Caenorhabditis elegans: one gene and its partner. The protein of the gene in region 2 interacts with the protein of the main gene of each other region in a pairwise test. Each region holds a gene or a part of one and is shown on either strand. Other genes may lie near its edges.

Region 1 (5,536 bases), about 11 Mb from region 2:
TGCCCACCAACAAGTCTACAAAATGACCCAGTGTAGTATGCACTTCCGATATTTTTCATTAAACCCACCGCGGCAATGCAATTTCGAAGAGATCCACCACGAGTGTTCCCGTTTTCCAATAATGACTCCTTCAAAACGACGACAATTTGCATGTGGAGCGAGTGTTCTAAGGAATTCCAGGGATCTTCTGATTGCAAAAACTGTTTCCGGAGCTGAAATACATAACAAAATTATTTCAAATTCCCCTCGGTAAATATATGTATTCTTTTAAACAAGCTGAAACTCACCCTAGTCTTTCAGGACTTTCAATAAATAGAGTTCTTCGGACCACATCGACAACAGTCGGCCATTAACCAGTACGTCTGTTTTTCATTTCTCTCGCCAAAATTTTCATATGGTGCAATTGTAGTCGGAGTCTTGACAACAGATTGACAAACTTCTATGTGTCATGTAGATGTCCTCCTAAATTAAAAATTGTTAAAATGTGGCAGAAGACACATGCGCAATACCTCAAACATGTCATCACTCAATTCCGATCCAAACTACGATTATCTGATGTTTTCGTATCCATTGTCTTTATCAGAACTTCCTTTAGTCATGCGAGCTGGTACTTGTACTGGCGTGGTGGTCACTGAAAGTAAATGAAATTTCTGTCGGAATTTGTGAGAAAAAATGAAACATGTTTAACTTTGCAAAGCTACAAAAGATTATTTCGATAAACAGTTTTCAATTATGGAAAAAGAAACGAGCAGAAAATATGAAAGCAACAAGGATTTGAAAGCAGAAAACAATAAAAAAAAACTGTGCACCACAACGGTCTGCAGACAGCACTCTATTGTGAGAGACGCCGAGAGAGGGAGGAAGAGGGCCATGTTGCGCAGAGATCACAACACTGCGGGCACTGTGCCAAGTATCATTCCGGATGGGAGACGTGTGTGTGTGTGTGTAGTATAGACGACAAGATTAAAAAACAATGCAAGAGGCGTTTGTTTTTGTAGATCACACGTAGATCACAATGTATTTGTAGATAACAATAAAACAGAAATACGATTTGAGAGATAAATAAACTGTGATCTACGCAAAATTTACACAGAAACTGCTGAAAGTGATGACTACTGTATACGGTTCGAGAAACTTTCGAGAAACTTTCCCCAACAACTTTCTCCAACTTTGGACAACTTTCGGCGAAGAAATACAAGATAGGATATTCAAATGAATGAAAAATGTTTTTTGGTTTTATCAACTTACTTTTTGGTTCAGGTTTTTTTTTCTAGCAAGCCATTTTGTTTTCAAATGCTAATTTGTCTTGTATGTAGTTAATAAACTTCTATTTTCGGTGAACAAAATCTCGAAAACTTCATTTAAAACTTGAAATTCATCAATTCCCACTGCAAACTGCGTATCGGAATTCGGAGTCTCGTTTGGCCACGCCCACTTTGTTGTTTGAACTTCAATTTTGAAATTAACAGTTTAGAGCTCTAATTAGAGCTATATATTGCAAAATATTTCCAATGTTTTGGTGATTAAAAACTGTAACACATTTTAAATAAATATTTTTATGGAAAAATTTCCAAAAAAATCCATGAAAATTCCACAGCAACGGAAGTTTGAAATTACAGTACTCTTTAAAGGCGCGCGCGTAAGAGGATTGCTTTCTTTTTGCTCAGGTCCGCATCGAATCCTGTTGTAATATTTTGCCAGAAGTATAGGTGCATGTATTCTTATTATACTATTGGAAAATCAATAGTTTCCGATACTCTCGCTATGTATTTGTTCAGCCTCTGTCCTCCAAAGTACAAAACCCCCATTTCTCCGCGCAAATGATGCATTGTCCGCAAACACGGCGGCTGCAACTCTGCGTACATTTCGCAACTCTCATTTAATTTTGTTTCCACAGAAAATGCCAATTAATCCGGGGTTTTTTAATTGTTTCAAGCTCAAATTTTGGTTAAAACTGTTATTTTATCTTTCAGGTTACAAAATGGACTACGACGTCATCGCCAATCAGCCTGTGGTCATCGACAATGGCTCCGGAGTCATTAAGGCTGGTTTCGCCGGAGAACAGCAGCCAAAGGTAGGCAATAACGAATCAAAACTTGAGATTTTTGAATTTTGAATTTTAAATCATCTTTTAATTCATTTTTTACAGGTTCGCTTCGCCAACTTCGTCGGACGACCGAAATATCACAGAGTAATGGCCGGAGGGCTCGACGGAGACATTTTCATCGGACCAAAGGCCGAATCAAACCGCGGGTTGTTCTCAATCGAATACCCAATGGAACACGGAATCGTCAATAACTGGAGCGATATGGAAAAAATTTGGGAGTACATTTTCGGACAGGATCAGCTGAAAATCTTCCCAGAAGAGCATCCAGTTCTGCTCACCGACGCCCCATTGAATCCGTTGAAGAACCGCGAGCGATCTGCTGAGATCTTCTTCGAAACGTTCAATGTTCCAGCGTTATATATTCAAATGCAAGCTGTGCTATCGCTGTACGCCACCGGAAGAACGACCGGAGTCGTTTTGGATTCAGGAGACGGAGTCACACATGCTGTTCCGATTGTTAAGGGATTTGCAATGAAGCATGCGTCAGTAAACTCTGGGAAATTGCTTTAAAACACGCCTATGTGGTCACAATGACCGAATATCATGATAAAAAAATTCAAAAAAATTTTCTAGATTTTATATGATTTTTTTTTTTTGAAAGTTGCGAAAATCCCAGTTTTCCCCTAATTCCGGTTTGAATTTCCGCCATATGAATTCGTTCGCTGGAGCGCACTTGCATTTCATTTTATTTTTTCTCATTATTTCACTGGTTTTTCTTCATTCTTTGTGTATTTTTATCGGAATAAGAGAGAAAAATTCAAGATAAATTGCAAATTATTTATTTAAAAATCACTGAAAATGCGTAAAACTGTAAAATTATGAGTTCCGGCGATAGCAAACCTGAAATTAGCTTAGTTCACAGTTTCACCCATTTTCAGTGATTTTTAAATAAATAATTTGCAATTTATCTTGAATTTTTCTCTCTTTTTCCGATAAAAATACACAAAGAATGAAGAAAATCAGTGAAGTAATGAGAAAAAATGAAATAAAAATTTAAATTAATAAAAATAATGCAAGTGCGCTCCAGCGAACGAATTCAATTGGCGGAAATTCAAATAGGAATTAGGGGGGAAAACTGATATTTTTGCAATTTTCAAAAAATCATATAAAATCAGGAAAATTTTTTTGAATTTTTTAATCATGATATTCGGTCATTGTGACCACATAGGCGTGTTTTAAAGCAATTTCTCCATTGGGCGCACTCCACCTTTAAAAAAAGCATTTAATTCTAAAATTTCCTTTTTTCAGAATTCAACGAATGGATTTGGCGGGTCGCGATGTCACCGAATACCTCCGAGTCCTTCTGCGCAGAGAAGGATACGAGTTCCACAGGAGCAATGAGTTCGAAATTGTCCGAGAGATGAAGGAGAACGCGTGCTATTTGGCGTTGGATCCGACGAAAGTGGAGAATAATTCAGTGAAAGTAGTGATTTTTTTTGCAGTGAAAATGAGCTGAAAATCGCATTCTTTCAGTCATCCTACGCTCTGCCAGACACCACGAAAATCGAAATCTCCAACTCATTGTTCCGTGCGCCGGAAGTGCTCTTCAAGCCGGATTTGATCGGAACCGAGTGGCCTGGAATGGCACATGTTGTCAATCAATCAATTATGGTAGGCTCACAGCCTGCTCGGACGAAAAATCACTTTTTCAGACATTTTTGCTTAATTTTTGGTGGAATTTCGTTGGAAAATATTAATTGGCACATAATATTGCTATTTTAAGTGCACATTTTTCATCTTTTAGACTTTTTAACTTGATTTTTCGTTTTGGAAATGTTTTAGCTCTTAAAGTAGAACAAAAATCGAAATTTCTACAAGATTACCATATAAATATCAATTTTCTGTTGAATTTTACCCAAAAAATGCGAAATTTCTTTAAAACGAGCCTAGCCAAGTGATTTTATCGATTTTTATCTTATTTTCCACCGATTTTTCACGTTTTCAGTGTATTTTTACAGGAAGTTTGAAGAAAAGTCAAGAAAAATGCGAATTATCGATTAAAACTCAACATTGAAGGTTTACGCCTTCAACGCTGATTTTTAATTGATATTTCGCATTTTTCTTAACTTTTCCTTCGAATTTCCAGTAAAAAAATACTGAAAACATGAAAAATCGGTAGAAAATTAAAAAAAAAAATCGATAAAACCACTTGGCGCGAGGTTTAAATTTTTTAAAGCTATTTTTCAATTTTTAAAAATCATATAAAATTTAGAATTTTTTTTTCTATGATATTTAGCCACTGTGATATCAGAGGAATTTTTTTAAATAAATTTTCAGTTAAATTTTAGCCAAAAAATGCGGAATTTCTAAAAAAAAAAAACACCCATCAGCTCAAACTAAATATTTCCAGAAATGTGACGTGGATCTTCGACAAACTCTGTACAGCAACATCGTGCTGAGCGGTGGAACGACGTTGTTCAAAGGATTCGGCGATCGTTTGCTGGGAGAAATGCGAAAAATCGCGCCCGCTGACGGAAAAATTCGAATTTCCGCGTCGCAGGAACGAAATTCGCTCACATGGATCGGCGGTTCGATTGTCGCCAGTTTGGACACTTTCCGAAAAATGTGGCTCGGAAAGAAGGAGTACGAAGATATGGGAGCGTCGGCGATGCACAAGAGATTCTTCTAAATATTGAATTTTTTCCCTTTTTTGCTCACTTTTCATCGTAATTTATTTGTTTTTTTTGCATATTTTCCCCCTTTTTCTCCCTAATTTGTTCCATTTGGCGCTGGCTCAAAAATTCTTCAAAATTTTCTCAAAAATAGGCGACCTTCTTCAAAAAATGTTATATAGCCCGATTCTCTGGACATAATTATTCAATTTACCCCCTCCTCCCCCAGTTCCGTGTCCCACTATCTGCTTTATGCCTGTTTCAATTATTATTTTTTATATCTAAACGATTCGATTTTTATGGAATTCTTCAATGCAATTTATTACAGGTTCCCGGCAGCTCAATGGAGCCGCTGCGTCAGGCGGAAACTGTGCAATTTTAAGACATGAGGAAAATATTTTTAAAAAAAACTTTACGGAAATTTTCCGAATTGCCGATTTGCCGGAAATTTCAATTCCGGAAAATTTGCCGGAAATTTGCCGATTTGCCGGAAGTTTCAGTTCCGCAAATTTGCCGGAAATTTTCAATTCTGGAAATTTGTCGATTTGCCGAAAATTTCAATTCTGGAAGTTTGCCGATTTGCCGGAAATTTCAATTCTGCAAATTTGCCGATTTGCCGGAAAATTTCAATTCTGCAAATTTGCCGATTTGCCGGAAATTTCAATTCTGCAAATTTGCCGATTTGCCGGAAAATTTCAATTCCGGAAATTCGCCGATTTGCCGGAAAGTTCAATTCTGGAAGTTTGCCGATTTGCCGGAAATTTCAATTCTGCCAATTTGCCGGTAATTTCAATTCTGGAATTTTGCCAATTTGCCG
Region 2 (3,739 bases):
TTGAGAAAGTTCGAATTTTTAAAACTTTTTTTGTTGAGTTTTTTGACTAAATTTATTGATTTTTCTTCACTTTTTGCAGTTTTTTATAATTTGAAACATGGTTTCCCATTTTTCCAGACATTTTTTCTCAAAAAACTGTAAAAGTACCCTAAAAATCGATAGTTTAACATTAAATTATACTTTTTATGGGAAAAAATTTGAAAAAAAAAACCATTTTTTAAGTTAGTAATCAATCAAAAAATGACAAACTTGAAAAATAGTTTTTTTTTCAATTTTTTTCGCAAAAAATATGATTGAATGTTAAATTATCGGTTTTAGGCTACTTTTTCAGTTTTTTTCGAAAAAAAATTCTGAAAATGTGAAAACGATGAAAAAATCGATGAATTTTGTTGAATAACGGGGAAAATATCGAAATTTGGAAAAAAAACTTATTAAACCAAAAAATGTTTTTTTTTTCAAAAAAAAAAAGATAAAATTGGATTTCAAAAACCATAATAAAGCAGTTAAAAATCGAAAAAAAATTCAAATTCAATTTATGCAAGACTTAAGTTCTTTTAACGGGAGCATATAGAAAAAAGGCAACAAACAGAGTAAGAAAAAACGTATGAAAACATGAAAAAGCAGTAGGAAATCGAGAAAAAAATTAAAGCAGGGGAAATTTAAGCTTTTGGCAATTGTCCAAGAGCTTCAGCTTTTCTCAGCTCGGCAGATTCTTTCTCAGTGAGCAGACGAATGTTGTGTGTAGTTTTGTGAGTGTTCAGCTCTTTTCCCTTTTCGACGAGCTGATCGTTGAGCTGCTTCGAGACGATTGTCAACTGCAAAATTTTATTATTTTCGGTAATTCTGGTCAGTTGCACCATGTTTTTCTGCTGAAAATTTGTGACAAAATATAGAAAATCACTCGATTTCTCTTTAAATTACACTATTTTCAATCGAAATATCCAAGATAGAGCTCAAAAATTGCCTGAAAGTTGAACAAAATTCAACTTTCAGACCATTTTTGACCGTTTTCTCAAATATTTTCGTTGAAATTACTGTTATTTTAAGATTAAACCGTTAATTTTCCATGTTTTGACACTGATTTTCAATGAATTTTCGCATTAAAAATGGCAAAATGGCTGTGAAATCATGGTCTTGTGTCGATTTACGCAGCTCGTGTACTCCACGAGGAGAAGTCTGTTTTTTTTTTCAATTTTTTGTATTTAACCATATTAAAATCGTATTTTTACAGTATTTCCCAGCGCAAATTGGGGGTTTCGCTATAAAAAAAACGGAAAATCTGGTTTTTTTTTTCAATTTTTAGGTGTAAAAACGCGAAATTTTGCGCTAAAACTACGATGTCTGATCTCGACACGACATTTGTTTCGAATACATGACGCTGCGCACCTTTAAAGAGTACCCGAATTTGCAAAGTTTCCATCGATTTGTTTATATTTTTTCATTCGATTTGTTAAAATTGAAGTGTTTTATCGAAAAACTACGGAAAATCAATATAAATTCCACAAATTTCAAATTACAGTACTCCTTGAAGGCGCATAGCTTCCAGATACCGTATTTTTGGTGCAACAAATCGGAAAATTCAGTGTTTCAGATGAAAAAATATTTTTTTTTGCTTCAAAAAACTGTCAATTTTCATCGGAAATACTGTAAATCCCCAATTTAAAACGCGTTAAATATAGAAAAAAGGTCGAAAATCAGGTATTTCAGCCGGAATCTGTAAAATCTTCTCCACGAGGAGTACACAAACTCCGTAAATCGACACATGACTGTTTCCTCCGCCTTTTCTTCTATTTTTCCCGACTTTCAAATCCTCACATTAGCGATATTATTCTGCAAATCCGGAATAACATCCTTGACAGTATACTCGACAAGTGTATCACTAATCAAACGGAAGCATTTCTGATCCGGTTCAAGATCCTTGATCACTTCGAGAACACGTCCAAATTCACGTCGTTCCTCTTCGATTCGAGTCACTTCGGCGGCGATATCCTGTTGTTGATCACGTAGAGCCTTGAACTTTTCGACGACTTTTCGTTGCTCTTCTTGCTCGGCTGGAGTGGCGGCGGCGGTTTGAGCGGCCGACATCTGGAAGTTGTGGATTTTTTGAAAATAATTGTTTTAATGGTAGAGAGCCAGTTTTTTTTTGGTTTTTTTTGCCAAAACTGACCAAAAAAAATTTTTATAATTGAAAAAAAAAGATTTTTCAAAATATTTTGCAAAAAAACTAGTGAAAGCCGATTTATTTTTGAATTTCTCACCGATTTTCTACATTTTTGTATTTTCCGGCTTTTTTTATCGGTTTTTCATTGTCACATTTTCAGTCATTTTTCAGCAAAAAAAGTTGAAAACTCTAAAATTAGCCAAAAATCGATAGTTTTTGTGAAAAAAAAAGTCTAAAATTATCGATTTTTAGGGTAATTTTAGAGTTTTAACGCATTTTTTTAAGGGTTTTGAAGTTTTTTTTTTGCGGAAAAATGACAAAAAAACACAAAAAATGGATTATTTTAGGCGAGAATTCAAAAAAAAATCCGCGTTTTTTCCAATTTTTAAACCTTTTTTTTCCAAATAGATATTTGAAGGCGCTGGGAAGTTCCCAGTGGGAACCTCTCAAAATTAATAAAATAATAAAAAATAGCCGGAAAACACAAAAATGGCTGAAAAAGGATTTTTTTCTAACTTTTTGTTGCAAAAATTTCAAAAAATCAAATATAAAAAGGCACGGGGAACCTTTGAAAAATCGATAAAAATATCAAAAATAATAGGGGAAATATTGTTTTATGGTATATAAAAATTACAAAAAAAGGGAAGACAGACTGGGAAAAAATTGGAAAAAAATGAGAATATAAATAAAACAAGGAGTATCATTTTAACATTAAAAAAATCAAATAAAATAAATAAATAAATTTTAGCAGCACATTCTGCAATTTTCAAGATTTTTCAAGACTCCATCGCTTCCCCATCGGCACCATTCTGATCCATCTGACGATTCCATCCCTTTTCCGGAACCTTTCCCGATGCCAGAATCGACTGAAGATAGTTGACTTCACTGAGTGACTTGGCATTCTTGATCGCTTCCTTGATCTTCTCCCGATCTTCATCAGTAAGCCGAGCACCTCCACCCGAACTATTCTCATTTGGTTCAATTTCTGATGGATCTTCTGTATGAACACTCTTCTGAATCGCATCTCTCGCCTTCTTTCCACTTTTTCCTTTGAACATCTTCTTCGCAGCTTCACGTTCTGTCAGTCTGACTCGATTGAAGTCAATCACTCGAACCGTCGGCAGCTTGTAGATCATATACATCCGATAATTGTCCTTGTGAGTTATCGGATTTCCGATAAATGTCACGTACTCGAGCTTCTTGCATTCTGCCAGTGGCTCAATGTCTCCGAGCTCGCAAATGTTGTTGTTGGTCAGTGCAAGAGTTTTGAGATTTGGAAGTTTTGTGGCAATGTCGGGTGCGATATAGCTGAAAATATGGGGTAAATTGGTGGGAATGGAGCTCGAAAATGTGGGAAAAAAGCAGTTTTGCAATGAAAAATGGAGGGTTTTTAATTTTTTTTCAGGAAATAGTAACCATAAAATTTAAATTTTTGAAGAATAAATTAGAGAAAGTATTTTAAAAATTTGAAAATGACCAAAATTTTAGGATATTTTCTGAAAAATCGATTTTTTCCCCTACTTTCCGAAAAAAACTTCGATTTTTCGAAAAATGGCTTAAAATTTTTCGAACTTTTTC

The links. Proteins that work in one complex are often made in the same cells at the same time.
Region 1: the proteins of pfd-2 (region 2) and arp-1 interact in a two-hybrid assay, tested with the Caenorhabditis elegans proteins (one large-scale study listed by BioGRID).

What each region holds. Positions count from the first base shown.
Region 1 is NC_003280.10:15,118,328-15,123,863, forward strand, and holds arp-1 (Actin), read left to right. Parts: upstream 1-1,973; 5' UTR 1,974-1,981; coding exon 1,982-2,074; intron 2,075-2,149; coding exon 2,150-2,589; intron 2,590-3,355; coding exon 3,356-3,530; intron 3,531-3,580; coding exon 3,581-3,718; intron 3,719-4,457; coding exon 4,458-4,736; 3' UTR 4,737-5,018; downstream 5,019-5,536.
Region 2 is NC_003280.10:4,325,066-4,328,804, reverse strand, and holds pfd-2 (Prefoldin subunit 2), read right to left. Parts: upstream 2,086-3,739; coding exon 1,816-2,085; intron 816-1,815; coding exon 660-815; 3' UTR 521-659; downstream 1-520. Other genes in the region: mog-2 (putative U2 small nuclear ribonucleoprotein A'), read right to left, coding at 2,938-3,469. UniProt on the Caenorhabditis elegans protein: Binds specifically to cytosolic chaperonin (c-CPN) and transfers target proteins to it. Binds to nascent polypeptide chain and promotes folding in an environment in which there are many competing pathways for nonnative proteins.